Linked DNA regions of Elephas maximus indicus. The protein of the gene in region 4 purifies or fractionates together with the protein of the main gene of each other region. This does not show direct contact. Links are inferred from orthologs where the notes say so. Each region holds a gene or a part of one and is shown on either strand. Other genes may lie near its edges. The genes, in order: NUP43, NUP160, NUP107 and SPAST.

The links.
Region 1: the proteins of SPAST (region 4) and NUP43 purify together in Homo sapiens (affinity purification with mass spectrometry; 3 studies listed by BioGRID and IntAct, counting the BioPlex papers as one, with this or other methods). This does not show direct contact. The link is inferred for Elephas maximus indicus from reciprocal best matches to the Homo sapiens genes SPAST and NUP43.
Region 2: the proteins of SPAST (region 4) and NUP160 purify together in Homo sapiens (affinity purification with mass spectrometry; 3 studies listed by BioGRID and IntAct, with this or other methods). This does not show direct contact. The link is inferred for Elephas maximus indicus from reciprocal best matches to the Homo sapiens genes SPAST and NUP160.
Region 3: the proteins of SPAST (region 4) and NUP107 purify together in Homo sapiens (affinity purification with mass spectrometry; 3 studies listed by BioGRID and IntAct, counting the BioPlex papers as one, with this or other methods). This does not show direct contact. The link is inferred for Elephas maximus indicus from reciprocal best matches to the Homo sapiens genes SPAST and NUP107.

What each region holds. Positions count from the first base shown.
Region 1 is NC_064819.1:221,024,441-221,031,857, forward strand, and holds the start of NUP43 (nucleoporin Nup43), read right to left. Parts: upstream 3,266-7,417; 5' UTR 3,218-3,265; coding exon 3,098-3,217; intron 2,772-3,097; coding exon 2,649-2,771; intron 1,758-2,648; coding exon 1,680-1,757; intron 507-1,679; coding exon 326-506; intron 1-325. Other genes in the region: PCMT1 (protein-L-isoaspartate(D-aspartate) O-methyltransferase), read left to right, coding at 6,407-6,635. UniProt on the Homo sapiens protein: Component of the Nup107-160 subcomplex of the nuclear pore complex (NPC). The Nup107-160 subcomplex is required for the assembly of a functional NPC.
Region 2 is NC_064825.1:103,190,365-103,198,725, forward strand, and holds the start of NUP160 (nuclear pore complex protein Nup160), read right to left. Parts: upstream 3,346-8,361; 5' UTR 3,050-3,345; coding exon 2,950-3,049; intron 2,689-2,949; coding exon 2,577-2,688; intron 1-2,576. UniProt on the Homo sapiens protein: Functions as a component of the nuclear pore complex (NPC). Involved in poly(A)+ RNA transport.
Region 3 is NC_064822.1:129,493,933-129,502,264, forward strand, and holds the start of NUP107 (nuclear pore complex protein Nup107), read left to right. Parts: upstream 1-5,166; 5' UTR 5,167-5,251; coding exon 5,252-5,259; intron 5,260-7,542; coding exon 7,543-7,634; intron 7,635-8,116; coding exon 8,117-8,203; intron 8,204-8,332. UniProt on the Homo sapiens protein: Plays a role in the nuclear pore complex (NPC) assembly and/or maintenance. Required for the assembly of peripheral proteins into the NPC. May anchor NUP62 to the NPC. Involved in nephrogenesis.
Region 4 is NC_064844.1:35,590,026-35,597,803, forward strand, and holds the start of SPAST (spastin), read right to left. Parts: upstream 3,214-7,778; 5' UTR 2,937-3,213; coding exon 2,522-2,936; intron 1-2,521. UniProt on the Homo sapiens protein: ATP-dependent microtubule severing protein that specifically recognizes and cuts microtubules that are polyglutamylated.

The DNA.
Region 1 (7,417 bases), on a different chromosome or scaffold from region 4:
CATTCTCTGAATAGTCTTATTCAGCCTCCAAGTGATTCCCTCTGTCCGATGTGCCATCCTTTTAGTATTGCTTAAGATCCATAACCTACATCGTCACTTATTCCCTGATGCTTTACTGATAATCCCTTCCAGGCAAAAAAAATTAATAAAAAGACTTCTCTCTCCTCTGCAGTCATGTTATCATGTTATTCTACTCATTCATATGAGCCTTATCAAAATACTGCCTTGATAAAGAGATCCTGCCTTGTATATTTTAATATCTCTCAAACGCCTAGCATCGTGTTCACTTATGTGACGGAGAAAGAAATATAATGATTTTGCTTACCTATAGTTCTCACAGCTTCCTTGTGATCAGCTCTGAAGAGATTTATTCTGCCATCTTCACCAACAGTGACAATTTCTGGGTTGTTGCACGCTACACCTGTACATGGTGCGCTGCTATAGGAAGGACTGCCTGGACCAGTGTGGCAGTGAGCTGTTGTCCACTGATGGCTGACAGACAGAGTCTAGGTATAAGATATGAGGATACCATTAACCAAAGCAAAGTTCTTAAAAACGAACACTCTTCTCCAACCAGAGTATTTTTGGATTCTGCTTTACACCCTTCTAGAAAAAGAGTAATTCTTTCCTCTCTCCTTTGTGTTTCAGTACACTAAAGTCTAATAATTACTTTCATCAAAGCTCTGTATATACAAAATTAGATTCAAAAAGAATGTTTAATAATGTCCCACATTCATCTCACTGAAGATATAGTTTTTTGGTATTAATTATGTGTTCAAAAGCAACTCTTTAACAATTCTTAAGGGAATTAATCTATATCTAAAAAATAAATTTCTACAGCTCTTCCTAAACAACTCCATTAAAAAAAATACTTAACAATATGAGTCTCATGTTTACTAGGCACACCTATTAACAAAGTGACCTTTATTAATCCCAAAACCTACATAAGCACTCTGTTCTAGCAACTTAAAACTGTGTTACAGCAAGTGGGGCTATTTTTAAAAACTGCCCTCCCCACTGTGCTCTGAAGGTCAGCACTCTTGGGGTTAGCAAACAAGAAAGGCATTGAGAAAATGTCAAGTCTTCACACAGCATATCTTCTCTTCTAATAAAACCTGGGTTCTTTATCCACAGAAGCAAAGTAGCTGTTAGCATCCTCCTTCATGGCATCTGAGCTAGAAGGTGCTCTTTCTTTCTAGAAAAGAACTTTAAAAAGCAGAATTGCAGTAAAATCGCCTGCCAGTATTATTATTTTTACACTAAAGGAATTTATTTAACAAGGTAAGGAATATCCAATTTCAATAAAAAAATCAAACCTGTTAGCGTCAAGTCAATTCTGACCCACAACAACCCACATGTTACAGAGCAGAATTGCTCCATAGGGTTTTCTTTTGCTGTACTCTTAATGGAAGCAGATTGATAGGCCTTTTTTCCATGGTCCTACTAAACAGGTTCGAGCCGCAAACCTTTAGGTTAGCTGTGGAGTACAAATTGTTTGCGCCATCTAGGAACCTTCCCTGGTTCTAAAATTAATCCACTCAAAGTTTGGTAATATAACAGTGATATTTTCCCCCTTCATGTTTTCAAACCATAAATTTTATTATTTGTGTAATTCTAAGCACAGTCTTCCTAAACATAATTAAAATACAAATTCAATTTTCAAACAAAGCATTCTTTACCTGGTTATTCTGATGGTAAAGGAAAATTGTCACACATCCTGTTGAGGAAGCAGCTACAATTCTTTCCTGGTCCAAAAACTAAGTAGAAAAATCCTGCTTATTATACATTCAAAAATATTTGTAGGAATGATGCCCATTTGCTTAACTCAATCAAAAGTAAATCCTATTACAATTTTAAAAAAGTAAAAAGCCTGTAAATACCAAGCAAACAAAACATGATTACTGATTTGAAAAGCCAACCTACTGTAACAAAGAAAGGTATTTGCATGCAAAATAAATAACGAACAACAACCTTTTTCTAAACTCCTTAACCTGTAATTGACTGAGTTTTGGACCACTATAATAAAGCTTTAGAAAAATATCATTCCCACGGTGAAAAAGTTTTCTATAGAATAAAATGGAGGGACTTAGATGCCGTACAGACCTGAATTTGAATACTCAATTCCAGTCCCACGATTAGAATTTGAGGCAGTACCACCACTGGTTTTGAGACTTGAGCCAAATTAAGAAAGTTCTCTAATTTTTAAAATAGAACTACTAATTCCTCCGTAGGAGGTTGGATTCATAGAACAAAACCATGTAAGCTGCTTTCTATTTTGTTTGTCACAAAGCATATGCTCAACAGATCTTCTTGGTCTCAGTTTTCTCACTGGTGAAACAAAGAGAACAACACTGATTTACAGCCATGAAATTAGAATTACACTAATTTATTACGTAAATCTCCCAACACAGTGCTTGGCATCATAGTAAATGGACATTAAAAAAAAAAACAAAAAACTATGACTAAATCCACATCACTTTCCTAAATCCTGATTCTGTCACTAAGTGGCTATGTGATGTTGGGCAAATCATTTAACCCACAGAGGAACGTTTCCTGTCAAGTTTAGACAGATTTCAAGGTCCTCTGCACCTCTAAGTATATTACTCTCAGTTGTTTTAAGTTAGTTTGTGGATACTACACAGGCTTACCTGTAAATCCATTACATCACCATCGTGTCTGATATCACAGAGTAACTGATGGTCTCCTTCAAACCCTCCATCAGAGTCCAAGTTTCCAAAATCTCCAATTGACCACAATGAAACATAATTTTCCTGTAAAGCAAAAAGTTTTATCTCGAAACTAAATAAACGCCGACTTCAGAAATTAACGTTTTTACTGGCTTCATGCAACTTTGCTTCAAAACCACCTCAGACCAAAGGTATGGTAAGGTTTTCACACACAAGGCGATACGAGGCTCAGGCACACCATCGCTGGCGCTGGCTCTGAGCTACAAAGCAACTGAGGCCGGGACTGGGAGGGGGTTAAGGAAGGACGAGAAGGGCCAGTAGAAGGTTCGCGCGCCAGCGACCAGGGGCGCGGTTCCCAAGACCAGAGACGGGAGGGAGGCAGGAACTCCCTGCCCCGGGAGCGGGGGTACCTCGTTGTCGCAAGAGCCCGTAGCGAAGGTCTCCGCTGTCTGCAAACTCCCCGGAGGCACCGGTCGCCAGCGGGTTTTGCTGATTTTCTGAGACACAAACTTAGCACACATCGCCTTCATGCTGAAAGCAACCGCAGCAGACACAGGAAAAAGCACCGCGCGCGGCTCTCAGTCCCGCCCCTTCCTCTGGGGACTCTGATTGGCTGGGGCCTTAAGAGGAGACGGTGGCTGCGGAGAGCCAATTCTCTTGCGCGGATTGTGTTGCCAAGCCTGTCCCCCAGGCTGATTGAAGTGGGAATGCCCATCTTCACCGACCTCTGACAAAGACGCAGGAGTGCCTTCATCCTTGTGTTACACCTTCTCCTAACCTGCAACATCGGTATAGAGACACCGAGAGAATGTATTTGTGCAATAATTGCGCAATATAAAACAAATTTATATTGTAAAACAAAATCAATGCAGGAGACACCACCTTCTAGGGACACCTAAGCATTCAGTTGCACTTCACTGCATACAAAAAAAGATTCAAAATCCTTAAGTTCTCATAGAAGTACCTCCGCTAATATACTAACTTATTATGCTAAACCTCTTCCTCTTTTCATTTGCTTCAAAGTTGTTAATACACATTGTCAGAGCCTGTAGTTGGAATTCTGAAGACTCCAGATCTAGTTTTGATGCTCATTGCCCAGCTATGTAACTTTGGCCAGTTCATTTGTGTATATAATAAAGAATGCACTGGCGATATCTAACAACAGCCCAGGAATCAGCACTATAGGTTCTTTCTTCTATGCTTTTGGTTAATAGGAAAAGCAAAACAAACAAAAAAAGACCTGTTGCCATACGATCAATTTTGGCTTATAGTGACCCTATAGGACAGAGTAGAACTGGCCCACAGGGTTTCCCAGGCTATATGGTCGCTATGAGTTGGAATGACTCAATGGCAACAGGTTTGTCTTTTTTTTAATTATTATTTTAATCATTACAGAAGCAGATCTCCAAGTTTTTCCTCCTGTGGAATGGCTGGTGGGTTCAAATTGCCAACCTTTTGGTTAGCAGCCCAGTGCAGTGGCTTCACTAGGGGGAGTTGGTGGGGGTGCAGATGGCACTGGGTGACACTGTCAGAGGTGGGTGACACCAAAATGACTATCTATAAAGATATCCCTGTAGTTAGTTATAACAAAAACATTTCTCATAAGCTCAGCTTGCATGTATTAATATACCTACAAGGCTAAAACTCTATGTTAATTTACTTTTTGAACCTTCCAATGTGCTCTGGCCAAAGCTGTCATTATTACACATTGATGCTTCAAGTCACTTGGTTTTGTCTGCAGGAGCTATAAACATGCACTGTTGTTTTCACCGCTGTCGGTGTTTTTATAGTTGCTAATTTTGTCAAATTTTCTGGTGTTTTAGCTATAATATCGTGTTATTAGTATTTGTGAACCTATATCAATAACTTTGAGTAAGAAGTAGTAATTAAAGGAAAAGAAGGGGTGATATACAGGAATTACAATTTACAAATAACATTAGTATAAAAAACAATACTAAGGGTTCTACATGGTCTGGTGGGAGGAGGACCGTGGCGACGGGTGGGGAATGACATCATGAGTTACACCACTGGGTGACACCAACCCTAGCAGCCCCGGTGCTTAACCACAGCACCACCAGGGCTCCTTGTACTTTTGGTTTTACCTTTAATATTCCTTCCATTCCTCTTTCCTCAGAATCCAGCACATCCCTTACAGATCAGTTCCTTCGTGTATTTTTTCCTGATTACCCCAGTCATGATAAGCTAAATACATAGTGCTTGATACTAGACCACTAATGGCACTTATACTTTGACCTCTATTGATAGTTTTCTTTTGATACATCTCTCTTGGACTAGAATATAGATTCTACTGCATACAAGAGGTATGAGTTGTCCATCTTTTTATCTCCTTTGCTATAGGTATTTATAACTGTGTGTTGGTTGTTTCTCTAAAATGTTGTTACTGTTGTTACTTGTATCTGATATTGGCAGTCCTATTTCACAGTTGCAGCTTATGGTAGCATCACATACAAATGCAGTCAGTCTTGGTCGGCTTTAGAGAATTATCACGTTCCTCTTAAGAACGTCACATTTTTTTTGTTTTCCCCAACCAGAAGACCATCAGGAAGCTGCAGAAAGATGAAATGGAAAACTACTAAATTAATTGGAGTCCCAAACTAACACTTTTACTCCTAATGTTGAAGTGGAAAACACTTATGAGTGTGGTTTCATTTATGTCACTGGATCCTTAAAAATAGACAAGGTATATTGTGGATTGGAAGTGGGCGGCATGCCGCACTTGACAGTCTGTTAAAAACTAGAATTTGGAAGTTGCTGCTGCTGCAGCAGCATAGGATGTCTTGACATAGCTTTGCTTCTTTCCTTAAAAGACTACTGAACTAAATGATGCCTGAATTGTCAGACTCAGCTCTGATCAGGAGTCAGCAATTTGGATGCAACAGGCAACGTTCCCCGTCAGTCTCTTACTCATCATCTGCAGAGCTCATAGCAATAAAGCCAGCGCCCAATCTGACAGTGGAATTTGTGAGGCATCATTAGCTGAAGCGCACACTTGTATTGAGAAAATAACACATTCACCATAGGATACTGAGGTATTTTTAACCAATTGTAGATCTTCACGTTTTTATTATTTTAAGGAGCAGATCACCTCCTCCCCATTCCACTCTGAATGTGTGCTTTAGGACTGAGAACAAACCAGGGTCCCAAAGTCTCTGCTAACCAGTGATGTTTTTATCACAAAGCCAGAGGCTGGCGTCCTCGGGTTCTGCTGTGATTATTCAGGCTCCCTCGAAGGGAGCTCTTACTCTAACCGGCCTAAACGGGACGGAGGAAGCCCACCATCTAACAATCTGGGCAGCTATAGGAGCAAAGCCGCCGCTCGCAACAGCTGACCCGGAGGGGACCGCAGAGCCACCCGCAGCGGCGAAGCCAGATCCGCCAGACAAGGCGGCACAGATCAGCCCGGCCATCCCGCCTCCGCGCTGCGTAACCGCAGCCGCGGCCCGGCACGCGACCGACCGCGCCCAGGCCCAGCCGGTGTGGCCGCAGGGAGAACCCCGGGAAGGGGCAGCGCGCAGCCCGAGGTCTCAGGAAGGGGCATGCAGCCGCGGCGGCGGTGCTGACTCAGCTCGCTCTCCTTGCGGTGCCCGAGCAGCCACTGCAGCAACAAGCGCGCGGGTACGCCGCCACGCCCGCCCCCGGCCCCACCCGGCCGCACCCCGGGCCGCGCGGCGTCACAGGGCGCATGCGTGCCGCGGGGCATGCCGGGAGCGCGCAGTGGCGGCAGGAGCGGCGACGGCAGTAGCAGCGGCGGCCACAGCGGGGACGCGAGCGGGGCGGTCACCGTTTGGGAAGTGGTCTCACTCCTGGGGAAGCTGCTGGGCACCGTCGCCGCCCTGAAGGTGGTTCTGTACCTGCTCCGGGTGTGCTTAGCGATGGCCTGGAAATCCGGCGGCGCCAGCCACTCGGAGCTAATCCACAACCTCCGCAGTAAGTGCCACCCCCGCCCGGCGTGGGGCAACTAGGGCAGGCCGGGCCTGGACCAGGTCCCCTCGGGCCGAGCTGGAACCTTCTGTCTAACCTGTCTAACCCCCAGCGCTTGTCGGAGGGCTTCGGCGCAGGCTTGCACCGGTAGTCCCGAACGACGTGCGTTTGAGATCACCTCCCCCGGGACCTGTCACTCATCGGCGACGTGGAGGGGAAGGGGAGAGAAAGAGCAAAGCACCGCTGCTGGTGGGCAGGGGCAGTTGTCTCCCTGCGGGTGTGGGGAAGGGAGTGCCGCACAGGTGGTGGGGCTGTCACTCGAATCCGCAGCCTCTGGTCCGGGTCTGGCGGGCGAGGGGCGTGCCCTCGCGGTCGGGTGGTGGTGGCCAGGCCGCCTAGAGACTGGGCTAGAGCTCCGGGGCCCCACCCTCGTCTCCCGCGTTTTCTCACCTTCCTCCTTTATAATCAACCTCGCTGCAAGCTTGCTTTCTTATTTTGCCTCCCCCGCCCTCCGGTTTTTCCTCTGGAGGGAGATGCCACTGTCTGATACCGGCAGAGGGAGGGAAAGGAAGATGAGAGTATTGCCATTGCAGATGTTGGGAGAAGGCTTGTGGGGGGCGGAGGAAGAGATAACCAGGGGATGCTGTTTCTGAGAGACTTGTGGTCCTGGGACCCCAGCACACGATTGTATGTGAGGGATACCACATGCTTTAGAAAACCTTGTGTGGAAGTTCTTTATACCATTTTCTTTAGTTGTTTTATTCCTTTCTCTGGCGGTAATTTTAGGG
Region 2 (8,361 bases), on a different chromosome or scaffold from region 4:
GCATTTCCATAACTTCCAGTTGCTCAAGCCAAAAATCTTGGGGCTACCCTTGAAACTTCTCTTTCTGTATACCCTACGTTCAGGGAAGGATTATCCACTAAGCACAGTAGGCACCGGCTTACAGTAAGCAAGGAATGCTCCAGCTTAATTGTGCTTACTTACTAATCGGGAGTACATAATTTCACCTGAGTTTCACCACATCTCTGATGTGAAAACCAGGTGAAATTGTGCACTACCAGGCAATAAGTAAGCACAATTAAGCCTGTTCGTGTACCTTGCATACAGGGTAATCAGTCCCTGCCTACAGGTGATCCATTAGTAAACTTAACAAATTCTCCTTCAAAACATTATCCACAATCTGATCATTTCTCACTGCTTCGACTACTACCGCTTGGTTGAAGCCACAATCATTTTGTCTGGATTGTGGCAGCAGCCTCCTAATTGGTCTCTGCTTCCACCCTCCCCCTATTATGCTCTACTCTCAACACAGCAGTCACAATGATCCTTTAAAAACACACATCATTCCTCCACTGAAAACCCTCCAATGGCTTCTTCCCATCTCACTCAAAGGAAAAGCCAAAGCCTTGAGGTAACCGACAAAGCCCTGATCGGGCCCTTGGCTACTTCTCTCTTATCATTCTATTCTTTGTTCACTCAGCTGCAGACTCCTGGTCCCTCGTCATTCTTTGAACACAACAAGAAGCTCCTGTCTCAGGGTTCTCTGCACTTTTTGTCCTTTCCTGGAAGGCTCTACCTGAAATGCTCTCCTCCCAGATATTCTCATTTCCTCTGCTCAAATGCCAGGTTATCACTGGGTCCTGCCCAACCACCCTATATAAAATGGTAACTCCTGTAGGCATTTCCTTTCCCTTTCACCTGCTTTCCTCTATTCTACTTGTTTTGTTGTTGTTATTTATTGCCTACCTCTCAACGAGAGTGGGAATTTTGCTATATTCCCAGTCCTAAACATTTTTTGGAACATAGTAGACACTCAAAAATATTTCTTAAATAAATGAAACTTGTATTTCTAACACATTATATCTAAAACGTGAATCTCTCTTCTGAGCCTCCGCTCCGTAAATCCCAACATGTACTTGTCATTTCCATGGGGCTGTTGCACAGGCACTTCAAATTTGGTACATACCAAAGTATTGCTCTCTCTCCAAAACTCATTTTCTGTATCTCAGTAAATGGCAAGAACACCCCCCGCCCCGCAGTATCTGGTTAGTCACATCAGAAACCTGGGATTTGTCCTTGCTCTTCCCTTCCCCCAATATTCAATCTATGACCAAGACCTAGCAAATCTACCTTCCACACATATCTCAAACACATACATCTATTTCTCTTTTCTTAGCCACTCCCACAACACAAGCCACCAGCATCTCTTACTTAGTCCATTACAAAAGCAAATTGTTCTTTTCTATTACCCCTACCCAACCCAAGTCCATTTTCACACATTAGACTTCATCTTTTAAAAATGCCATTTTGATCATGTTAGTGACTCTTTAAAAACCTGTCAGTGACTGCTCAATATATTGTGGATAAAAATCCAAAATTCTTAAAATGGCTTGAGGAGGATCATTTGTGGTCTGACTGAGTTCTGCCTCAGCATCTCTCCCACCACTTACTCCTATACCCACTGTAGTCAAGCCACACAGGCTTTTGGTCAGTTCCTCAAACCTCTCAAGTTCTTTCTACTTCATGGCCTTTGCATATGTTGATCCTTCTTGATGGACGGCTTGCCTTCTCCAATGCCTCACTAACCTTCCATCCTTCAGATCACAGCTTAGCTGTGACTTTCTCAAAGGCCTTCCCAGCCCAATCTAAATTAGGTCCTCCCACTGACCTCTTACAGCCCCCGTACTTTTCCTCCGGGGCAGGTACAAAATTTTGTATTTATATGCCTATAATAGTGGTCATTAGGTTAATGTCTCTTTTCTTCCACAAAACTGCCTCATGAAATCTAGGTCTATATATGTTCTTTCCCTACTACAACTCTAGCGCCTAGCACAGTACCTGCACTGATTAAAAGCCCAACAAATAACTATTAAACGAATGACTTAATCAGGGAGTAAATAAATCCATTACAGTTATATGCACTTAGTGTCTTTATCTACAATACGGACAAGGCAATATCTAACTCACAGTCGTTTCAAGTATTAAATGAGATCATGCATATGACAGTATAAATGCAGGTTTGTTTTGTTTTTTGCTCACCATTTTATCCTTGTATCTACCATAATGCCTAACATGTTGAAGTTCAACAAATATTTACAGAATGAAGGAAGGTATAAAGTACTATAAAACATAACGGGTTCATGTCTAAAACCTGGTCTTTGGGGGCTTTATTCCCTAAGCTACATTCCCTCTGCTTTTAGTGCTGCCTGGACTGTATCTCTCCTAGAACTCTCTGTCTCCTTAATTTTCCCATGCTTCAGACATGAATTGAAAACCGGCTTTTTCCTTTCCTACCTGTCGATTATCATTCCGGAAAATGACACTTTGGAAATAGCCACAAAAATCCAGACACCGAACAACCCTACCTTCCAGGGGGGTTTGGCGAACACGGCACTCACCAATGAATGAACCTGTTTCTGGTGACGGAGAATAATTTAGCACTTTCCACATAGTAGAAGCCTCCCGCGCTCTCACTGTATTTCACCGCTCCGGCCACAGCATTCACAGTCCCTGCAAAAGGAGCGCGGTCAGCCTGCACACGTGGTTCTCTGGGGATGACAGGGGTTGAGGTCGCTGAGGAAGCAAAGGGTAAGACAAGCATGCAGAAAGAAGAGGATGACAAGAGCAAAAAGCCGGACACCGGGAAAGCTCTGATCCAGGGCCCGGAGGCATACAGACTCGGAAGAATGAACTGGGGCACGGGAAAGATACCAGGGGCCCCATGGAAGGAGCCAGAGAAGAAGATCGCGGCCTCCCTGGTCGCTTCCGTACCAACGCCGCAGACCGTGAATTCCCGAAAATGCCTCGGCCTTTCGCGCTCGGCTCCGCTTAGCTCCAAAAAGCTCCGTTCCATGGCTCCCGCCGCCGCCATCTTCCCGCCGCAGCCGCGAGGCCCGACGGGATACGGACAAGGCCGTGCGGCAGTCGTCACTTCCGGGGACGAGGTGAGCGGAGTCGTGAGCAAGTGAAGAAGCACGGAGAGGAGAAAGGCAGGCCGGACCCTCCTCCATTGCAAGGCTGCCACAGAGTGGGCGAGAGAATGAGGATGGGCAGGGCGGGCGTCAGCAGAATAAAGGGAAGGAAGTCGAGTCGGTCTGCGACAGCCTTCGAGTGGCGGGCTAGGGTGCCTCCGGAGTGTTGCTCTTTCCCTAGCGGCCTTAGAGCCGGGGGCGGGGCCGGGCTTGTGGCCTTTTTAAAAATGCGGACGCGGGCTTTGGGGCTGAGGCTGCCAGGAGGAGCGAGGTCGGCTGAGGGCGGGCCGGTGGGCGTCGCCTCCGCATCCCAAGTTTGCTGTCACTTCCTCCTCCGTTCCGAAGCCCTGGTGGTGCACTGGTTAAGAGCTGGGCTGAGGGAAATGTGTTGGTTCGAACCCACCAGCTGCTCAGCGGGAGAAAGATGTAGCAGCCTGCTTCTTACAGCCTTGGAAACCCTATAGCTTTGTTCTTCTCTGTCCTGTAGGGTCGCTGTGAGTCAGAATCCACTGGATGGCATTGGTCTACCCTCCACAGGGTGTCTTCTGTAAATGTCGGCCTGATCTCCCTTTCTTTACCCTTCGGAGACACCTGGGGTGGAAGGAGAGGCAGTGACGAACAACGGAACCTTTTTTCTGTTGAAATTTTTTCAAGACACTGTATTCGTGTAGAATGAAACTCAATAACATGTTAAACATTGAAGCTGCAATCTGCTGTTTGATGTTACGGTTACCTAAGCGCTGCTCACTGGCACGCGTAAAGGCGTTCGCCTTTTGTTCCACCCCTGATCTCGCTCTTGGCTGTCAACGCAGAAGGATCTATAGTGGATGTTTAGAAGATGTGGGTTTACACACCATATCTAGGGCTGAGTAGATGCTCAATAATGAGAAAACTGCTAATTTTAAAGAGAAAAGGTTTTTTGTTTAGTGATAACCTTTGTTAAGCACCCCTAACCTTGTATTACCAGAAACGGAAACCTTTCTCTGTCATTCACCATTTCATTCGTCCTATTCTGATGTATTTTTTCCAGCTCATTCCCTCTAAGACACCAAATCCAGCGGTCCCTCCATTCCAACTACAGTCCATTGTTCCTTCACATTTTCACTGTCCCTGCCTTGATGTTTTGTTCTTACTCTGCTTAAATTCCATTAAATCACTTCATTGCCAGCTCTAGCTCTCTTCATCATAGTCTGGTAAAACTGACCACTTTGAATCTGCATCTGAACAGGCTGGATAAAAATACATGACCATGTTGTTGTTAGGCGCCCAATCGGTTCCCACTGGTAGGGACCCCCATGTTCAACATAACAAAGCACTGCTTGGTCCTGCACCATTCTCACAACCACTGTTATGCTTGAGCCCGTTGTTGCAGCCACTGTGTCAGTCCATCTCGTTGAGGGTCTTCCTCTTTTTCGCTGACACTATTTTACCAAGCATGATGTCCTTCTCCTGGGACTGGTGCCTCCTTGATAACATGTTCAAATTATATGAGACAAAGTCTCGCCATTCTTGCTTCCAAGGAGCATGCTGGCTATAGTTCTTCCAAGACAGACTTGTTGGTTCTTCTGGCAGTCCATGGTATATTCAGTATTCTTTGACAACACCGTAATTGAAAGGCATCAATTCTTCTGCCTTATTCATTGTCCAGGTTTCACATGCATATGAGGCAATTGAAAACACCATAGCTGAAGTCAGGTGCACTTTAGTCCTCAAAATGACGTATTTGCTTTTAACACTTGAAAGAGGTCTTTTGCAGTAGATTTACCCAATTCAGTGTTATTCCTCACTGCTGTTTCCATGGGCACTGATTGTGCATCTAAGTAAAAATCCTTGACAACTTCCGTGTTTCCTTTATTTATCATGATGTTGCTTATTGGTCCAGTTGTGAGGACTTTTGTTTTATGTAGAGGTGTAATCCATACTGAAGGCTGTTGTCTTTGATCTTCATCATTAAGTGTTTCAAGTCCTCTTCACTTTCAGCAAGCAAGATTGTGTCATTTGCATATTGTAGGTTGTTAATAAGTCTTCCTCCAATCCTGATGCCACATTCTTCTTCATATAGTCCAGCTCCTGGGATTATTTGCTCAGCATACAGATTGAATAAGTATGGTGAAAGAATACAACCCATATGCACACCTTTCTTGACTTTAAGCCACACAGTATCCTCTTGTTCTATTCTCTTTGTCCAAGTACAGGTTCCTCACAAACACAAGTGTTCTGGAATTCCCATTCTTCACAATGTTATCCATAATTTGTTATGATCCACACAGTTGAATGCCTTTGCATAGTCAATAAAACACAGGTAAACATCTTTCTGGTATTCTCTACTTTCAGCCATGACCCATCTGACATCATCTATGATAGTCCTTGTTTCACATCCTCCTCTGAATCCGGCTTGAATTTCTGGCAGTTTCCTGCCTTCCAAATTTCTTGGCAGAGACAAGTGAGTGCTTGCAGTGCTGCATCTGTTTGTTGAAACATCTCCACTGGTATTCCATCAATTCTTGGAGCCAATGCCTTCAGTGCAGCTTGGACCTCTTCATTTAGTACCATCGCTTCTTGATAATATGCTACCTACTGAAATGGTTGGATGTTGACCAATTCTTTTTGGTATAGTGACTCTGTGTATTCTTTTCATCTTCTTTTGATGCTTCCTGCCTTCTTTAATATTATCCCTGTACAATCCTTCAATATTGCAACTTGAGGCTTGAATTTTGTCTTCAGTTCTTTAAGGTTGAAAAATGCGGAGTGTGTTCTTCCCTTTTGGTTTTCTAACTCCAGGTCTTTGCAGAAGGCAAAGTAAAGTCTTGGGCCACCCTTTGAAATGTACTGTTCAGCTCTTTTACTTCATCAATTCTTCCTTTCACTTTAGCTACTCTACATTCAAGAACAAGTTTCAGAGTCTCCTCTGACATCCATTTTGGTCTTTCCTTTCTTTCCCATCTTTTTAATGACCTTTCTTCATGTATGATGTTCTCGATGTCATTCCACAACTCATCTGGTCTTCGGTCATTAGTGTTCAGTGCGTCAAATCTCTTCTTGAGATGGTCTCTAAATTCAGGTAGAACATATTCAAGGTCGTACTTCGGCTCTCGTGGACTTGCTCTAATTTTCTTCAGCCTCAACTTGAACTTCCATACGAGCAATTCATGTGTTCCACAGTTGGCCCCTGGCCTTGTTCTGACTGATGATATTGGACTTTTTCATCAGCTCTTTCCACAGATGTAGTTGATTTGATTCATGTATTTTCCATCTGGTGAGGTCCATGTGCGTAATTGCTGTTTATATTGTTGAAAAAAGGTATTTGCAATGAAGAAGTCATTGGTCTTGCAAAATTATGTCATGAAATTTCCAGCATTGTTTATATCACCAAGTTCATATTTTCCAACTACTGATTCTTCATCTTTGTTTCCAACTTTTGCATTCCAATCATCAGTAATTATCAATGCATCTTGATTGCACGTTTGATCAATTTCATACTGCAGAAGTCAGTAAATATCTTCAGTTTCTTCATCTTTGGCCTTAGTGGTGGGTGTGTAAATTTGAATAATAGTCATATTAACTGGTCTTCCTTGTAGGTGTATGAAACCATCCTATCACTGACAGCATTGTACTTCAGGATAGATTTTGAAATGTTCTTTTTGATGATGAACACGACACCATTCCCCTTCCCCAAGCATACTAGACAATATGATTTTATGATTCAGAATGGCCAATTCCAGTCCTTTTCAGCTCACTAATGCCTAGGATATTGATGTTTATGGGTTCCGTTTCCTAGACTCATACTTCATACTTTCCAGGTTCCGATTATTAATGGATGTTTGCAGCTCTTTCTCCTCATTTTGAGTTGTGCCACATCAGCAAACGAAGGTCCCAAAAGCTTGACTCCATCCACGCCATTAAGGTTGACTCACTTTGAGGAGGCAGCTCTCCCCCAGTCGTATTTTGAGTGCCTTCAACTTGAGGGGCTTATCTTCCAGCACTGTATCAGACAGTGTTCCACTGCTATTCATAAAGTTTTTACTGGCCTATTTTTTTTTTTTCAGAAGTAGACCACCAGGTCCTTTTTCCTAATCTCTCTTAGTCGGGAAGCTCCACTGAAGCAGTCCACCAAGGGTGACCCTGCTGGTATTTGAAATACTGGTGGGAAAGCTTCCAGTATCACAGCAACATGCAAGCCACCATGGTATGACAAACTGACAGACAATGTGATGGATATGTGACCATACTGATAGCAAAAAAGACATTTAAAAAAACCCAAAAAACAAACTGGTTGTGTGGAGTCAATTCTGACTCATAGTGACTCTATAGAACAGAGTAGAGTGCCCTTGTAGGGTTTCTAAGGAGTGGCTGGGGCATTTAAACTGCCGACCTTTTGGTTAGCAGCCAAGCTCTTAACCACTGCACCACCAGGGCTCCATCTCTTCAGTTGTTGTCAGGTGCCGTTTAGTTAGTTCCAACTCATAGCACCCATATGTACAACAGAATGAAACACTACCCGGTCCTGCGACATCCTCATAATCATTGTGTTTGAGCCCATTGTTGTAGTCATTGTGTCAGTCTGTCTTGTTGCGGGTCGTCTTCTTTTTTGCTGATCTTCTACTTTCCCAAGCATGATGTCATTCTCTAGGGACTGACCCCTCCTGATAACATGTCCGAAGTACGTAAGATGAAGTCTTGGCATCCTCACTTCCAGGGAGCGCTCTGGCTGCGTTTCTTCCAAGACAGACATGCTCGTTTTTTCAACACCACAATCCAAAGGTGTCAGCTCTTTGGTCTTCCTTGTTCATTGTCCAGCTTTCGCATACATATGAGGCAGTTGAAAATACCGTGGCTTGAGTCTAGTACATCTTAGTCCTCAGAGTGACGTCTTTGCTCTTTAACACTTTAAAGAGGTCTTTTGCAGCAGATTTGTTCAATGTAATACGTGGTTTTATTTCCTGACGGCTACTTCATGGGTAGTGTTGATTATGGATCCAAGTAAAATGAAATGCCTGAAAATTTCAATATTTTCTCCATTTATCATGATTTTGCTTATTGGTCCAGTTGTGAGGATTTTTGTTTTCTTTATGTTGAGGTGTAATCCGTACTGAAGGCTGTAGTCTTTGATCTTTATCAGTAAGTACTTCAAGTCCTCTTCACTTTCAGCAAGCAAGATTGTGTCATCTGCGTAACACAGGTTGTCTTCAACCTATCATGATGCCGCATTCTT
Region 3 (8,332 bases), on a different chromosome or scaffold from region 4:
ATGATCCTTGCTTACCTTGCCTATTAGATTATCCGCTCATATTTAGGAGATGCGTGTTGAAGTATTTAGGAGTAAAGCGTCATGATGTCTGCAACTAACTTTCAAATGATTCTGCAGAAAAGAGAGAGAGAATACAAGCACGAATGCCGATCTGAGGAAACAGATAGTGAATGGTGATTCTAGGTGAAGAATATATGTATGTTTACTGAATTATTTTTGCAGCTTTCCTATAGGCTTGGAATTTGTCAAAATAAAAAGTTTGGAAGGAAAAAAAGTAATGGTTTTGATTCCTTCTGCTGCTGGAGGCAGCATTGCTGGAAATCAGACAGTTGAGGTTTGAGTACCTTTGATACAGCTATTTCCTGGCCTTTAGCTGCCTGGGGAACTGTCCTTTCCCAACCCTTTGTGTCAGCTTCTTAATAGTTCTGTGAACTCCTGACACGCTTCCAGTAAACTCCCTTTTGCTTAAGTTAACCACAGTGAATTTCAGTTATTGCAACCAAGAATTCTGAATATAAAACATGTATACAATATATACCACACAAGGATTTCATTCCACATAATTTTAAGGCAATCAAATGGATATATTCTAAAATGTTTGGGGGCAGCACTGTGTTCCTGCCTACTAATGAAAAACGTCAAAAGTGAACCCCAGTGCATTTTTCAACAAGTTTCCTGTTTTTTGAATATGAACTGAATGTATGGCTAATCCTTTGCCCAAAGCAGCTCCTTATGTGCCTTATGGTCAATCATTTCAACTATACCTTATACAAATAAAACACACTGGAATTCAATTGCCAAGGGATGTGTGGCAAGAACCTGAACTACCGGCTCACACTTTGAGTAAACCTGCTGAAGTACTAACAAAAATCATTTAGGACCACGTCTCACTTTCCATAAAAGAACAAGTGCACTGTTTATTGCACAGGAAAATTAGGAGGCAGAGAGAATGAGAGTGCACCAGGGTGTGACTCATCAAGTAGATTACTGATTGCTGTTGTTGTTAGGAGCCATCAACTTGAATCCGACTCATAATGACCCTATAAGTACAGCAGAACAAAACACTGCCTGGTCTTGCACTATCCTCACAATCTTTGCTGTTTGAGCCCACTGTTGCAGCCACTGTGTCAATCCATCTCGTTGAGGGCCTTCCTCTTTTTCGTTGACCCTCTACCAAGCATAATGTCCTTCTCCAGGGACTGGTCCCTTCTAATGTGTCTAAAGTGAGATGAAGTTTCACCATCCTCCCTTCTAAAGGAGCATTCTGGCTGTACTTTTTCCAAGACAGATTTGTTCATTCTTCTGGTACTCCATGGGATGTTCAATATTCTTCACCAACCAACACCATAATTCAAATCCATCAATTCTTCTTCAGTCTTCCTTATTCATTGTCCAGCTTTCACAAGCATACAAGGCGATTGAAAATACTATGGCTTGGGTCAGGCATACCATAGCCCTCAAAGTGCCATCTCTGCTTTTCAACACTTTAAAGAGGTCTTTTGCAACAAATTTGCCCATTGCAATGCAGAGAATACCAGGAAGATGTTTACTTGTGTATTATGGACTATGCAAAGGCATCCAATGGTGTGGATCATAACATATTATGGATAACATTGCAAAGAATGGGAATTCCAGAACACTTAATTGTGTTCATGAGGAACCTGTACGTAGATCAAGAGGCATTAGTTCAAACAGAACAAGAGGATACTGCGTGGTTTAAAGTCAGGAAAGGTGTGCATCAGGATTGTATCCTTTCACCATACTTATACAGTCTGTATACTGGGCAAATAATCTGAGAAGCTGGACTATATCAAAAAGAACGGGGCATCAGGATTGGAAGAAGATTCATTAACAACCCATGATATGCAGATGACACGACCCTGCTTGCTGAAAGGGAACAGGACTTGAAGCACCTCCTGATGAAAGATATAAGACTACAGCCTTCAGTATGGATTACATCTCAACATAAACAAAACAAAAATCCTCACAACTGGACCAATAAGCAACATTATGATAAAAGGAGAAAAGGCTGAAATTGTCAAGGATTTCATTTTACTTGGCTCCACAATCAACACCCATGGAAGCAGCAGTCAGGAAATCAAACAGCACATTGCATTGGGCAAATCCAGTGCAAAAGACTGCTTTAAAGTGTTAAAAAGCAAAGATGTCTCCTTAAAGACTAAGGTGCACCTGACCCAAGCCACGATATTTTCAGTCACCTCATATGCATGAGGACAATGATTAAGGAAGACCAAAGAAGAATTGATGCCTTTGAGTTATGGTATTGGCAAAGAATGTTGAATATAACATGGACTGCCAAAAGAGCAAACAAATCTGTTTTGGAAGAAGTACAGCCAGAATGCTCCTAAAAAGCAAGGATGGCGAGACTATGTCTCACATACCTTGGACATATTATCCAAGAGGGATTAGTTCCTGGAGAAGGACATCATGCTTGGTAAAGTAGAGGGTCAGCGAAAAAGAGGAAGATCTTCAATGAGATGGATTGACACAATATTTGCAACAATGGGCTCAAGCATAACAATTGTGAAGATGGCACAGCACCAGGCAGTGTTTTGTTCTGTTGTACACAGGGTTGCTTTGAGTCGGAACCAACTCGATGGCACCTAATGATAACAACTTACATGGGTGTTGATGGTGGATCCAAATAAAATGAAATCCTTGACAACTTCAATCTTTTTCTCCATTTATCATGATGTTGCTTATTGATCCAGTTGTATTTTTGTTTTATGTTGAGGTGTAATCCAGCTGAAGGCTGTAGTCTTTGATCTTCTTCAGTAAGTGCTTCAAGTCCTCTTCCCTTTCAGCAAGGAAGGTTGTGTCAATTGCATATCACAGGTTGTTAATAAGTCTTCCTTCAGTCCTGATGCCGTCTTCTTCTAGTCCGGCTTCTCAGATTATTTGCTCAGCATACAGACTGAATAGGTCTGGTGAAAGGATACAACCCTGACACACAACCTTCCTGATTTTAAGCCACACAGTATCCCCTTGTTCTGTTTGAAGGAATGTCACTTAGTCTATGTATAGGTTCCTCATGAACACAATTTATTCTGGAATTCCCATTCTTCGCAATGTTATCCATAATTTGTTATGACCCACACAGTCGAATGTCTTTGCATAGTCAATAAAACCCAGGTAAACATCTTTCTGGTAGTCTCTGCTTTCAGCCAAGATCCATCTAACATCAGCAATGATATCCCTTGTGTCACATCCTCTTCTGAATCTGACTTGAATTTCTGGCAGTTCCCTGTCGATGTACTGCTGCAGCCGCTTTTGAATGCTCTTCAGCAAAATTCTGCTTGCACGTAATATTAATGATATTATTCAATAATTTCCACATTGTATTGGATTGCCTTTCTTTGGAATGGGCACAAATATGGATCTATTACAGTTGACTGGCCAAGGAGCCGTCTTCCATATTTCCTGGCATAGATAAGTGAGTGCTTCCAGCATTACATTCATTTGTTAAAACATCTCAATTAGTACTCTGTCAGTTCCTGAAGACGAGTTTTTTTTTTTTGCCAATACTTTCAGTGCAGCTTGAACTTCAGTACCATTGGTTCTTGATCATATGCTACCTCTGGAAATGACTGGACGTCAAACAATTGTTTTTGGTACAATCACTGTGTGTATTCCTTCCATCTTCTTTTGATGTTTCCTGCATTGTTCAATGTTTTTGCCCATAGAAGCCTTCAATATTTCAACCCAATAGGGGGAAATTAACATTTCAGTGATCTACCCTGTGCAGTGTAAATTTGCCATCTTCCTTTTTAATCCTCACAACAACTCTGTAATAAAGGTGTTATCTCCATCTACTGATGAGGAATACTCCAGAGGGTTCAAGCCTATATTACCAACTAACCAATCCACTGCCATTCAGTCAGTAGGAATCATAGCGACCCTATAGGACAGAGTAGAAGTGCCCCACAGGGTTTCTGAGGGGACATCAAAGCCACCTTTATTCAAAACGCCACGGTATTCAAAACATGGAAAGGCCTTCCTGGGAATGATGGCTTCCCAGAATTAGAATGTAAATACTGTTAAAACAAGAGTCATTATTAAGCCAATAATGGAAATTGATTGAGTTTACTTAATACACGATTTTCAACTAGGGAGTTTCAAAGCTGAGAAATGAGAAAACTTCCAAAGACTCTTCTACCCCATCTTATCAACATTGCCATGGAAAAAGGTACAGAGCTGATAAACAATTTGTGGTCAGGAAATTTCATACAGCATTGTCTTGATGAACAATTAAAATAATTACTAATGTATCCTAAAATATAACTCTAGTCTGACCTTTGACGTCTGTTTCCTGAAACTGAATTCTTCAAAACAACACAATGCCCAAGGCAAATTGGTCTTACTTTAATGGTTTACCTAAACCATTGTTTGACTCAAAGGTGACTTTTAGAAACCTATTTTTTCAAGGCTCCAGGTTCAAAAGAAGATCTCAAAGCAATGGCTTGGGTGTGTCACCTCAACTCCATGGACCCCAGAAATCTGGATTTCAGAATTAAATCTGTTCCTCAATGTCTAAGGTGAAACTTCAATAGATCCGTTCGAGACCAGAATATACTTTTTGGCTGGAAGGCAAATAGAGAGCAATACTAACACTTTCATGCTGCTTCTCTTCATAACAAGGAAAAAACACCAAGTAAAAGACAAATAGTAATTATGGAAAACAACTAAGAAACTGTAGGGGGTTACACCACAATTCAAACAAGGTGAGTGGAGTTGAGAGAGACAGGGACCCCTGCGGGGTAGGAAGATCTCCAACGTCTGAATTCCAAGTCCTGGCTCATTCTGACCGAGAATACCAGAAAATGGCTTCATATTTTCTTATACAAGCAGTGTACGTCGACATGCTTCCCAACATGATAACCCAGCCCTTGGACTACTCCCACAAACATCAGTCAGGCGAAGTGGCGGCTACAAGTAACGGCCAAGCCTGGTGAGGCCCCGCCCCTCCCCGGCCTGGTCAGGTCCCGCTCGAGTCCAAAACTGTCATGCCTTTGCGCCTGCGCCAGCTGGGTCTGCGGCGGTAGACGGAACAAGTCGCGCATGCGCTAGATGGAGTTTTTGCCTTTCTCCTCCCACTTATTTCCTCTGGGGATGGGTCAGCGTGGGTATGCTTCCGGGTCCGAGGATTTGCTTCCGGAGAGCGGGAAGGCTGAAACGCGGTGGCTAAACTAGAACCAAGGTTGCAAGTTTTTTGGAGGAGAGGGCTGTAGCCATGGACAGGTCAGTTCACATGGTGACAACCGAGCCCAGAGATTTGCCCCTTCTGTCTATTGGCAGAACGAAATAGGTGAAACCCGACTCAGGAAGCCCAAGAGGTCCCGGTTGCTTCCCCCAGGACTCTTCCCGGACTGGGAGACTTGCAGCTGACGGAGGAAAGGCCTCTGGGTGTGGGTTGGGGGATGGAGAGTACGGGTAATAATAATCCTCTGCTTTCCTACCGGGGCCCTGCGACCTATTCGGCGTTTTGGCGCCACATCATTTTCTGCTCTTGGGGTGGGCAAGGTAAGTAGCGGCTGCAGATTCGAGATGCTAAGTGACCTGCCGGAGATCGCAAAGCCAGTCAGTGACAAATTGGAATCTCAGCCCAGAATTTGATTCCAAATCCCAGCAGATGGTTATTGAGTTCCTTCTATGAGCCAGCACTGTGCTGGCCGCTGGCGACAAAGATGAGTTAATCAAGGTCCTTTGCCTCGGGGGATTCTTTGTGTATCGAGGGAGACTACTAAGCAGTGGTCAGGCTCTCTGCTGCTAACCAAAAGGGCAGTGGTTCAAACCCACCAGCTGCTGTGCAGGAGAAAGATGGGGCAGTCTGGTTCTCTAAATATTGCAGCTTTGGAAACCTCATGGGGCACTTCTGCCCTGCCCTCCAGGATTGCTATGATTGGAAATCAACTCGCTGGCAATGGGTTTTAACTACACAGTATAAAGTGATAAATGTTTTGTAATGCACGCTCGTTGACGTAAATGAGGGAAGCATAGTCTCCCTGTCAAGGGAGGTAGCAGGAAGGCCTCTCAAAAGAGGTAGCTTTCAAATTAGTCTTTGAATAATAGTTGTTGTTAGGTGCCATAGATTAGATGCCAGCTCATAGCGATCCTGTGTACAACAGAATGCAACACTGCCTGGTCCTGCGCCATCCTCACCATCTTTGCTATGTTTGAGCCCATTGTTGAAGCCACTGTCAGTCCATCTTATTGAGAGTCTTCCTCTTTTTCACAGACCCTCTACTTTACCAAGCATGATGTCCTTCTCCAGGGACTGATCCCTCCTGATGACATATCCAGAGTATGTGAGACAAAGTCTCACCATCTTCGCTTCTAAGGAACTTTCTGGCTGTGCTTTTTCTAAGACAGATTTGTTCTGGTCAAAATTACCCATTGCCGTTGAGTCTCTTCGAACTCGACGACCCTATAGGACAGAGTAGAACTGCCCCACAGGGTTTCCAAGGAGTGGCTGGTGGATTCAAACTGCTGACCTTCTGGTTAGTAGGATAGCTCATAACCACTGTGCCACCAGGGTAAATAGAAGAACCAAATTTTAAACCTGAATCTGTGTGTCTCCATTGCTGGAGTTCTTAACCTCAGGCTGCTTGTAGGCAGGTAAGTGTTCACCAGGTGGACAAGAGGGCAAAAGTAGACCTCTGTAAAAGGGACAGCATGTACAAAGATGTGAGAGTATGAAGGTGCTTGCTCTGTGTACCTGAATGGTCACATGCAGTGTATGTTTGTATGGAGTAATGTTTGGTGCTCAGACTGGATTGGTAAGCTGGAGTCAGGTTGTAAATACCGGGCTAAGGAATTTGGACTGGATTCTATAAGCCATAAAGAGAGCTATCAGGGTTTTAAGTGGAAAAAAAGCATATTCGATATGTGTTTTAAAAGAGGCCTCATAATCTGTACTGTTTAGCTTCTAGACCTTCAGGTGAGAGTGGTAGGGGTGATCTGGAGCGTTAGAGATTACAGGTAGTGAGAGAGGAGATACTGCGAGAGGAGATGCCTTATTGCACCATATCGAGAAATGACTTGAAGGGTCATTTCTCTCCAGTTCGCTAGCATTCTTTTTTACTTATTTCACCAGCTCAAGCAACACATTTTTCCTTAGTACCCATGCTTTAAGGTACTTTGGAGACTACGGAAGATCCTTTAAGATATGGTCCCTGCAGTTAGAGAACATCTCAATCCAGTAGGGGAAAGATTTACATTCATTAAGCAGTTATCTAAAACAGTGTTATTTTAATACAGATTTCAAGAGTTGAAGTAATTCCCTAGGAGAAAACTTTAATGTAGTAAAAGTCAAAGAAGCCTTTGTGCTGGTAAGATTTGAGTGTGATTGAGGCTTAATCAGAATTTGGCGTGAAGAGGGCGTTCTAAACAAAAAGATCAAAGTCTTGGCTACTGGAATTACCTATACCTTGACTGACTCAAGGTCCTTTATCATGATGTTAAAGTTCTTTCTGAATGCTACATTTTCACTTTATTCACATTTCACTTTATTCACTATTTTAGGAGTGGCTTTGGAGAGATGTTATCCCCTGCGATCCGAGAGGCAGAGGTGACTCGGACTGCACGGAAACAGAGTGCTCAAAAAAGAGTTTTAAGTATCCTTTACATTTTACGCATATTTATAAAAAATTGCAACGTGTTTGGAATCTGGGTTATAGACTTCTTTTTATGAGAGATACTGAACACTAACTGTAATAATAAAATGCTTCAGAAATTAGCTTTGCTCACTCCACAGATACTGTTATTTGGTAATGAGATTAAGATTTATATTTCCCTCAATATAAGACTGTACCATCTTACTGCTGATCGTCATTATGGTTAGCTTCTGCTGACGTTATAGATTTTTTTTTTTTAATTTGGAATTGAACTAAGAACTCATAGTGAACGACAGTGGTCTACTACTGACATCTAAGAATTTAAATGGCAGACAGAATTATTTACTCTTTAAAAAAAGGTAGCTGTAAAATACCTGGTTCTTTAAATATGTATTCCCATGTTTTGTATAGTGCAAATACGGTTAATTCTAACTTAAAGGATCTCTTTTCTACTTGGAAACTTTTCTTAACTTTCCTAACAGTTCGAGCATCGCAAGACGAAAATTGTGCTAACACTACACCAAAAAACCAGGTTATTCCTCGAACTCCCAGCTCATTTCGACAGCCTTGTAAGATTTTTTGCTTTTAAAGCATTGAATGATAACATTAATGATAGCAATTAATATTTATTATACACATAATGAATATATTTGGCTGCAGTATCAATAATAATAATAATGAATGCAGCCACTATTTAA
Region 4 (7,778 bases):
ATATAAATCACAACATTTATACACTACTTTATTAAGATCTAATTTGGTTTTTATCATTTCAAGGCACCAAATGTTTCAATTAACTAATACTGCTACAGTCTGAAATTGCACAGTGGCTTTCAGTACATTTAGCAGTTAAGCTGCAAAGGGATGGTAATGCAGACGTTGTTGTTAGGTGCTGTTGAGTCACTTCAAACTTATAGCGGCCGCATGTGACAGAGTAGAACTGCCCCATAAGATTTTCTAAGCTGTACTTTTTATAGGAATAGATAACCAGCTCTTTCTCCCCCAGAGCTGCTGGGTAAAAGTTCAAATCACCAAACTTTCGGTTAGCAGCGGCATTACTGGCCCTAACTTAAAGCCTAATGGTTTACCAGTTACAAAGTTTTTGAAGATGGCCTAGCCCATTTATTTCATACACAGTATACTCTGATAAAATAAGAGAGGGAGAAAATTTAATTCTCTTGGAATAAAATTTTGTGTTGTCAAGGATGGCTGAGAGGTAAATAGACCTCACATGTGAACTTTCTCTTTTAATAACTAGATTAAGGCTCAAATACAAAAATTTTCAACATGCTAAAAAGGAGAAGAGAACATGAAAAAATAAACTCAGTTTTAAAGGAAAATGAATATATTACTCATCTGTTTCAGTTTGAACTAATTTAATTTGGCAGAGGACGGTACCAGTTGTAGAATTCAAACCAAAGAGTTGTCATATCCATTCTGACATCCATGATAGAAACATTATCAGTCAAAAAAGAGTGAAATATGTGGAACACCAAAACCCGATGCCGTTGAGTCAATTCCGACTCATAGCGACCCTATACACACATCACTGAAAATATTTATACTTAAAAAATATTTTGAAGAGGATTTAACAGTGAAACTCGTAGATAAGTCATCAGCATGAAACCAAGGTCTGCATTCTATTGGTCATTTATTCTTCACATGGGACTGCTTTTTCTTTAAATATAAGAGCCCAAGATTGCAATACCTAGATTGTCCTTGATCTCGCCTTTCATCCCTACTTCTAACTCCCATCAACCAGTGTTAACTAAGAGTTCCCTGAATATGCTGGCATTCTTTTCCTAAATATACTAATTAAAATAATCCACTCGAAAACACATTCCCTCTATTCTAAAATGTCTTTGGTCTAGATTAGTAAACTTCAGAGGACCCTACTGTAATATGATACTGTAATAAAAACAGCAAGGGTTGCTAACCAAAAGGTCAGTAGTTCAAATCCACCAGGCGCTCCTTGGAAACTCTATGGTGCAATTCTACTCTATCCTATAGGGTTGCTGTGAGTCGGAATTGACTCAATGGCAAAGGGGTTTTCTCTAAGGAAGGGATCATGGTACCCCTCTTCATCCTCCCCAAGAGATCCTGGATGTTCCTAAGAGATGGTGGAGAACAGAACCATTAACAAAAAACTTCCTACCATAATAAACCCATAGTATTCTTTTCCTAAATGCATCTCTATTGTTCAAGTCTCTTAACCTTCACTCTGCCCTTAAATTCCCAGCTATCTAGTGCTGCTGTAACAGAAATACAACTGGATGGCTTTAACAAACAGAAATTTATTTTCTCACATTTTAGGAGGCTGTAAGTCTGAATTTAGGGCACTGGCTCTAGGGGAATGCTTTCTCTCTGCGTGGGCTCTGGGGGAAGGTTCTTATCTCTTCACCTCGTTTCCCAGTGTCTTGGAGAACTCTATGTGGCTTGCCATCAATCTTCCCCCATCTCTGCTTGCTCACTTGCTTAATCTCTTTTATATGTCATAACAGATTGACTCAAAAAACACTCTAAACTAACCCTGCCTCATTAACACAACAAAAACAACACATTCCCAAATGGTATTATAACCAGAGGCATAGAGATTAGAATTTACAACATATTTTGGAAGGACACAATTCAATCCACAACACATTCCAAAACCAAGATGAGTACCCCCCCTTCCCCTATACCCTACTCTTCACTACTAGGCCCACCAAGGAAACCGGTTTCAACAAGACTGAAATCCTGGAACAGTTTCTGGAATTGGTAATGTAGACGGACACTAAAAATGAACGGTAGATTGCTCCTTTTTCACTAATGGATAAGACAAGTGAGTACCTAACTGAGACATGGTGGAAAAGTGGGTTTCCTTGGGAGTTGGAAGGAAAAGCAACATCTCAGCATACTGGAGGTAGAATGAAAAGAGGGATTTTTAAAACGTAATATGAATCCGTCTAATGTTCATTAGCTATTAGCATAGGTCTGGAATGACCCGCTTTTACCCATACATATATAAAGCCTCAGTTTCTTCACCTATAAAATGGTGACAGCAACAGCACCTTTACCGTATAGGATTATTGATTATAAGAATTAAATGACACAACACGTGAAAAGCTAATGGCACAGTTCCGGGGATGCATCGCCCCCTCCCGCAGCAAACGGACGCAGGTGTTACCCTCCCTCTGCGACCCCACCCCCTTGCTTCCCGGCGCTTCCCCTTCCCCTTGGCCCCCTGTCACCATACCTTTCTCGTCCTCGTCGATGCGCAGGGCAATGGAGATGTACTCGAAGGCCTGCTTATGAAAGGCTCGAACGTGGTCAGCCTCACCGCCTGACACAGGCACCGGGGGCGAGGCCGGGGCTGACGCCGGCGCGGCCCGGGAGCTCCTCTTGGCGGCCATGAGGGCGCGGGAGAAGCGCTGGCAGAGCCACACGAAGAGGAGCCCCAAGTGGAAAGCTACCAAGCGCAACAGGGCGAAGCCCACCAACAGCGGGTAAGAGAAGTAGTACAGGTTCCGCTTATGCGGCGACCCGGGCGAAGAGGCCCGCGCGGCGCCGGAAGGGGCGGGCACCGAGCAGGGGGGCGGAGGCCTGGGAGGCACCGGGCTGCTGGGGCCGCCGGAGCCTTTCTTCTTCCGTCGTCCACCCGGAGAATTCATCCACAGCTCCTACTGCCGCCGCCGCCATAACCCGCCTCCCGCAGAACCACGATGACCAAGCCACGGCGGCGGCCACGGCGATGGCCACAAACCCCCGCGCGCCCGCTGGCCCCAGAGCTCGGCAGCTCCACGCGTTGCCCGCCGGCTTCTTCAGTCAGAAGAACAAGCCATTTTCATGCGGGAGTCTGACACCAGCAGTTGCTCCACCCCTACCTCCCTCTGTCTTCCGGAGTGCCTGGTGGCTCAGTGCTACAGCTGCGCGCACGCGCACGTCTCTTCCTCCGTGTCTCTCCCTGGCGCGCACGCGCACGCCCCTCCTCTCGTGTCTTTCACTGGCGCGCACGCGCACGTCTTTCCCTGTATTTCTTGGGCGGCCTTCTAAAGCGCCATCTTCGTCGACCTGGGTTCTAGTGCGCGTGAGCGGCGCCAGTTCCCAGAGTAACTGCCGGTCATAGCGTGCAGTTCTGAGCCTGCCGACTTCGGGCACCGAGGCTGCTGACTCCTTCATAGCCAGGAACATTGGCAATCAGCCCAGGGGAGGGGCGACTGTTCTCAGGGTCCCTCGGCCAGTTCCCAGGGCTCATATCTCACAATGTTTAGGTTTTCTGTACTTAACGTTTCTTTCGTCATTTTCTGCCAGTTGACTCAAGTCTTCTCCAAAGGGTGATTGCTCTGAGTTCCATTTAAAAAGCAACCCGTATATAGAAAATCCCAGATAATCCACAAGAAAGCTACTGGAACTAATAGAAGGATTCAGCAAAGTGGCGGGTATAAGATCACATAAAAAATCACCCAGGTTTTTCTACACTAATGAGAACTCAGAGAAGGAAATCAGGAAAAGGATAACATTTATAATAGCGCCCCCAAAGATGGAATACTTAGGAATAAACATAACTCGGGATGTAAAAGACTCATAAAAAGAAAACTATAAAACATTAGTGCAAGGAAACAAAAGAGACCTTAATAATAGAAAAGCATAATCGTGCTCACGAATAGGACTTGTGAAAATGTCCATACTGTAGCTACAATGCAATCCTGATCCAAATTTCAACAATGTTCTTTAACAAGATGGAAAACTAATTAGCTTTATATGGTAAAGAAAATCCCCCCAGATAGGTAAAACACTACTGAAAAACAATGAAGTAGGAGGCCTCACACTACCTGATCTCAGAACCTAGTATACAGCTGCAGTAGTAAAACCAGTCTGGTACTGGTACAGTAACAGATGCATAGACCAATGGAACAGAATCAAGACCATAGAAATAAATCCATCCATCTATGGACTCCTGATCTTTGACAAAGGGTTGAAGTTCATTAAAGGCAGAAGAGATAGTCTCTTCAACAAAGGGTGCTGGCAAAACTGGATATCTATTTGCAGAAAAATGAAACAGAACCCATACCTCACCCCGTACACAAAAAAAGAACTCAAAATAGATTAAACACCTAAAAGTAAAACCTAAAATTATAAAGTTCATGAAAGCATAGGGACAACACTAGGGGCCCTAATTTATGGTATAAATGGCATATCAAGCATAACTAAAAATGCACAAACTCCAGAAGATAAACTAGATGACTGTGTCTCCTAAAACTTAAATACCTATGCTCATCAAACTACTTTTCCAAGATAGTAAAAAGAGTACCTACAGACTGGGAAAAAAATCTTTGGCAGTGACATATCTGATAAAGGTTTAATCTCCAAAATATACAGAAAACTTTAACAACTAAACAATAAAAAGATAAGCAACCCAACCACAAAATGGGCAAAGGACATAAACAGATACTTCACCAAAGAGGACATTCAGGCAGCTAACAAATACATGAAAAGATGCTAGCAATCATTAGCAAGTAGAGAGATGCAAATCAAAACCACAATAAGGTACCGTCTCACTCCTGAAAGAATGGCATTGAGAAAAAAAAAAAAACAACAAATGCTGTTTGTGAGTAGATTGGAACCCTCACACACTGCTCGTGGGAATGTAAAATGATACAACCATTGTGGAAAACAATATGGCACTTCCTTAAGAAGCTAGAAATAGGAATACCATATGATTCAGTAATCCCACTTTTAGGAATATCTCCTAGAGAAATAAGAGCTATCACACGAATAGATGTATGCACGTCCATGTTCATTGCAGCATCATTCACAATAGCAAAAAGATGGAAACAGCTTAAGTGTCCTTCAACTAATGAATAGATAAATTATAGTACATACAAACAATGGAACACTACACAACAATAAAGGACAATGATGAATCCGCAAAACATCTCACAACATGGATGAATCTGGAAGGCATTATAATGAGTGAAATAAGTCAATCACAAAGGAATGAATATTGCATGACACCACTATTATAAAAAAATACGAACATGTTTCCACACAGAAAGAAATAATCTTTGATGGTTGCGAGGGAGGCGAGAGTATGGAGAGGAAATCATTAACAAGATAGTAGACAAGTGTTAACTTTGGTGATGGAAAAGACCACACAAAATATAGTGGAAGTCAGCACAACTTGACCAGGGCAACTGGGAACTGGAACCTGGGGTGAAAACAAACTGGGATAACAGGTAGTTGGAATTATGTACTCTAAAAGAGCTGGCCCATCAGTTCATCCTATTGAGATACTCAGAGCTGCCTGGGTTCATGGTCACTTGGTTATGCTACCTATCCAATAAACTATATTCTCTTTCTCTTCCTCTCCCTCTCTCTTCCTGTCCTTCCTCCCTCGTTCTCTCCCTTCCTTTCTCTCTTACCCTCTCCATAGACCCATCTCTATCTCCCTTTTTTCTCTCTTTCTCTGTTGAAGTTAGCCATAATAGTTTCCTGTTGCCTAAAACTAAGTAATCCTAAGTGATACAATTCCCCCATTGTTGACAATGTGAAGTTTACAAATACCTCATGCTTACTAGTTGTGTTATAGGAGCAAGTTTTTTAACTCCTTTCTCTGTAAAATAAATGGAATAAGAATTACAAAATGATATAAGGTACCTAAAACTAGCATAGTACCTGCAACATAACAGGACTCAATAAATATTATTTCTGTTTCTGCCACTATACCTGCAATGCCACTCTAGATTTCAGGCTCTACTGAGATCTCAATTTTCAGCGCTCTCAGTTCACGTCTGCTGCCCTTTAGAATTATATCCCAGCCTCAAATCCATTTTCTGAATTAAAATCTTCCTAAATTTGTCTTAAGAAAAATAGTGCCTTAGCATCACCTTGGCCTTATAATCAGCCTGGTCTGAAGATCCTAACCTTCTTAACCGTTTAACCTGCTGTGTGACAGCCTCCCAGTTTCTAGATGGTAAGAGCTTCCAGGACACTTAATCTTGAATGGGATCTGGACTAGTTTCACCAGGACAAAAAGGAGTAGCTGAGTTCTGTGCTAACTCGGACATTCAGTCACTTTATCGCTTTAACCCATTAATTTATATCCAAAAGCACCTAGCACCAAATGTGGTGTTTTTTGTCTTGTTTTGTTTTTTGATATTTCAGCCCCTAAGTATTTCCCTGAATTTTCAGCTTGAGAAATGTTAGATTATTTGATATAGGAACCAATGGCAGATATTAAAGACCTCTTTTCAATTAAAAAAAGAAAAGTGAAATAAAATGTCACACCTAGAGCTGAGAGCTGCTTTTGAAAAAGAAAATGTAAAATAGAGAAAAAAATTAAAAGACATAGTTGGGAATGAGGAATGGGAGGAGGAGAGTAACAATTAGGAGATTATTATCCGATGGTTGTGTTAACAACTTAAAATTGTGAACAAGTTATTTTTCTACATTGAGGCCACTTTGTGGCACAAATTATTCAACCATTTCGTTCAGCTAATGTGTACTAAGCACAGACAATGTGTCAGCCAATGAAGAAGGTGCCAGGATTACAGTAGGGAACAAAACCAGTTTTACAGTCTAATGCAATGGTCACAAAAAACTTCAACAGCAATAACATATATGTTGTGAATGACGGAAACTGTGAGAAACTGGAGAGGAGTATACCCCAGGTAATCAGGGTAGCTGTTAGTCAGTTCCAGCTGATTTGTGCCTTTCAGGAATGTGGGACCTAATGTTGCCAGATTTTTCTAATTTTTCAAGATAAATCAGAATTGTAATTTTTTATGTGAAATCTATGGGCTGGGAGTCACTGGCTCAAAATTACTAAACAAATTAAAAACAAAACTGTGTCACCAGTTTGAGATTATCTAGTTTAGAGAGGTTTTGTTACTTCAGTAAATGTATCTGTGAATGAGCTCATGGTTTTGAAATAGTAGTAGGTGTAAGAATATAAATTGTTACCTGACCTCTTCAACTTGATTTTTGAAGGTATGGTGCTATGGACTAATAAACAGAATCAGTTAACAGAGAATTTTAAATGAAAGCCCTAGGATAGCAATCTAGATTATCAGAGGATGTATTCAATCAGCACTCTAAAAAAAATACTTGGGTGTATATGTACTAAATTTCTATATTTACAGTGGCCAGCGCATACTGTGTGCACGGAGAGCAGAATAATGCGGACTGTTAGCACTGAGTGAATGCTGGGAGACATAAAAGGAATTGTTTATTTTCAAGGGTGGTTTCAGAAAGTTTCCTTTATCCTTGAGACACTCCTCCCCATCTTGTCAGATAAACTCAATTCCTATATTCTGGAAAGAACACCTAAATTTCTCCATTTACTCTCATAAGTGTTTTTGTCATAGCGTGTGTCTCTTCCCACCCACAAGCTTTTCCATTGAGGCTTTGATTAAATATTCCTTTCCGAATACTGTTCCAAAGATACCTACTCACATTCATCTCATCCTCATCTGAACTTCTTCAGGATTTATGGTCTGTATCACTCATCTTGA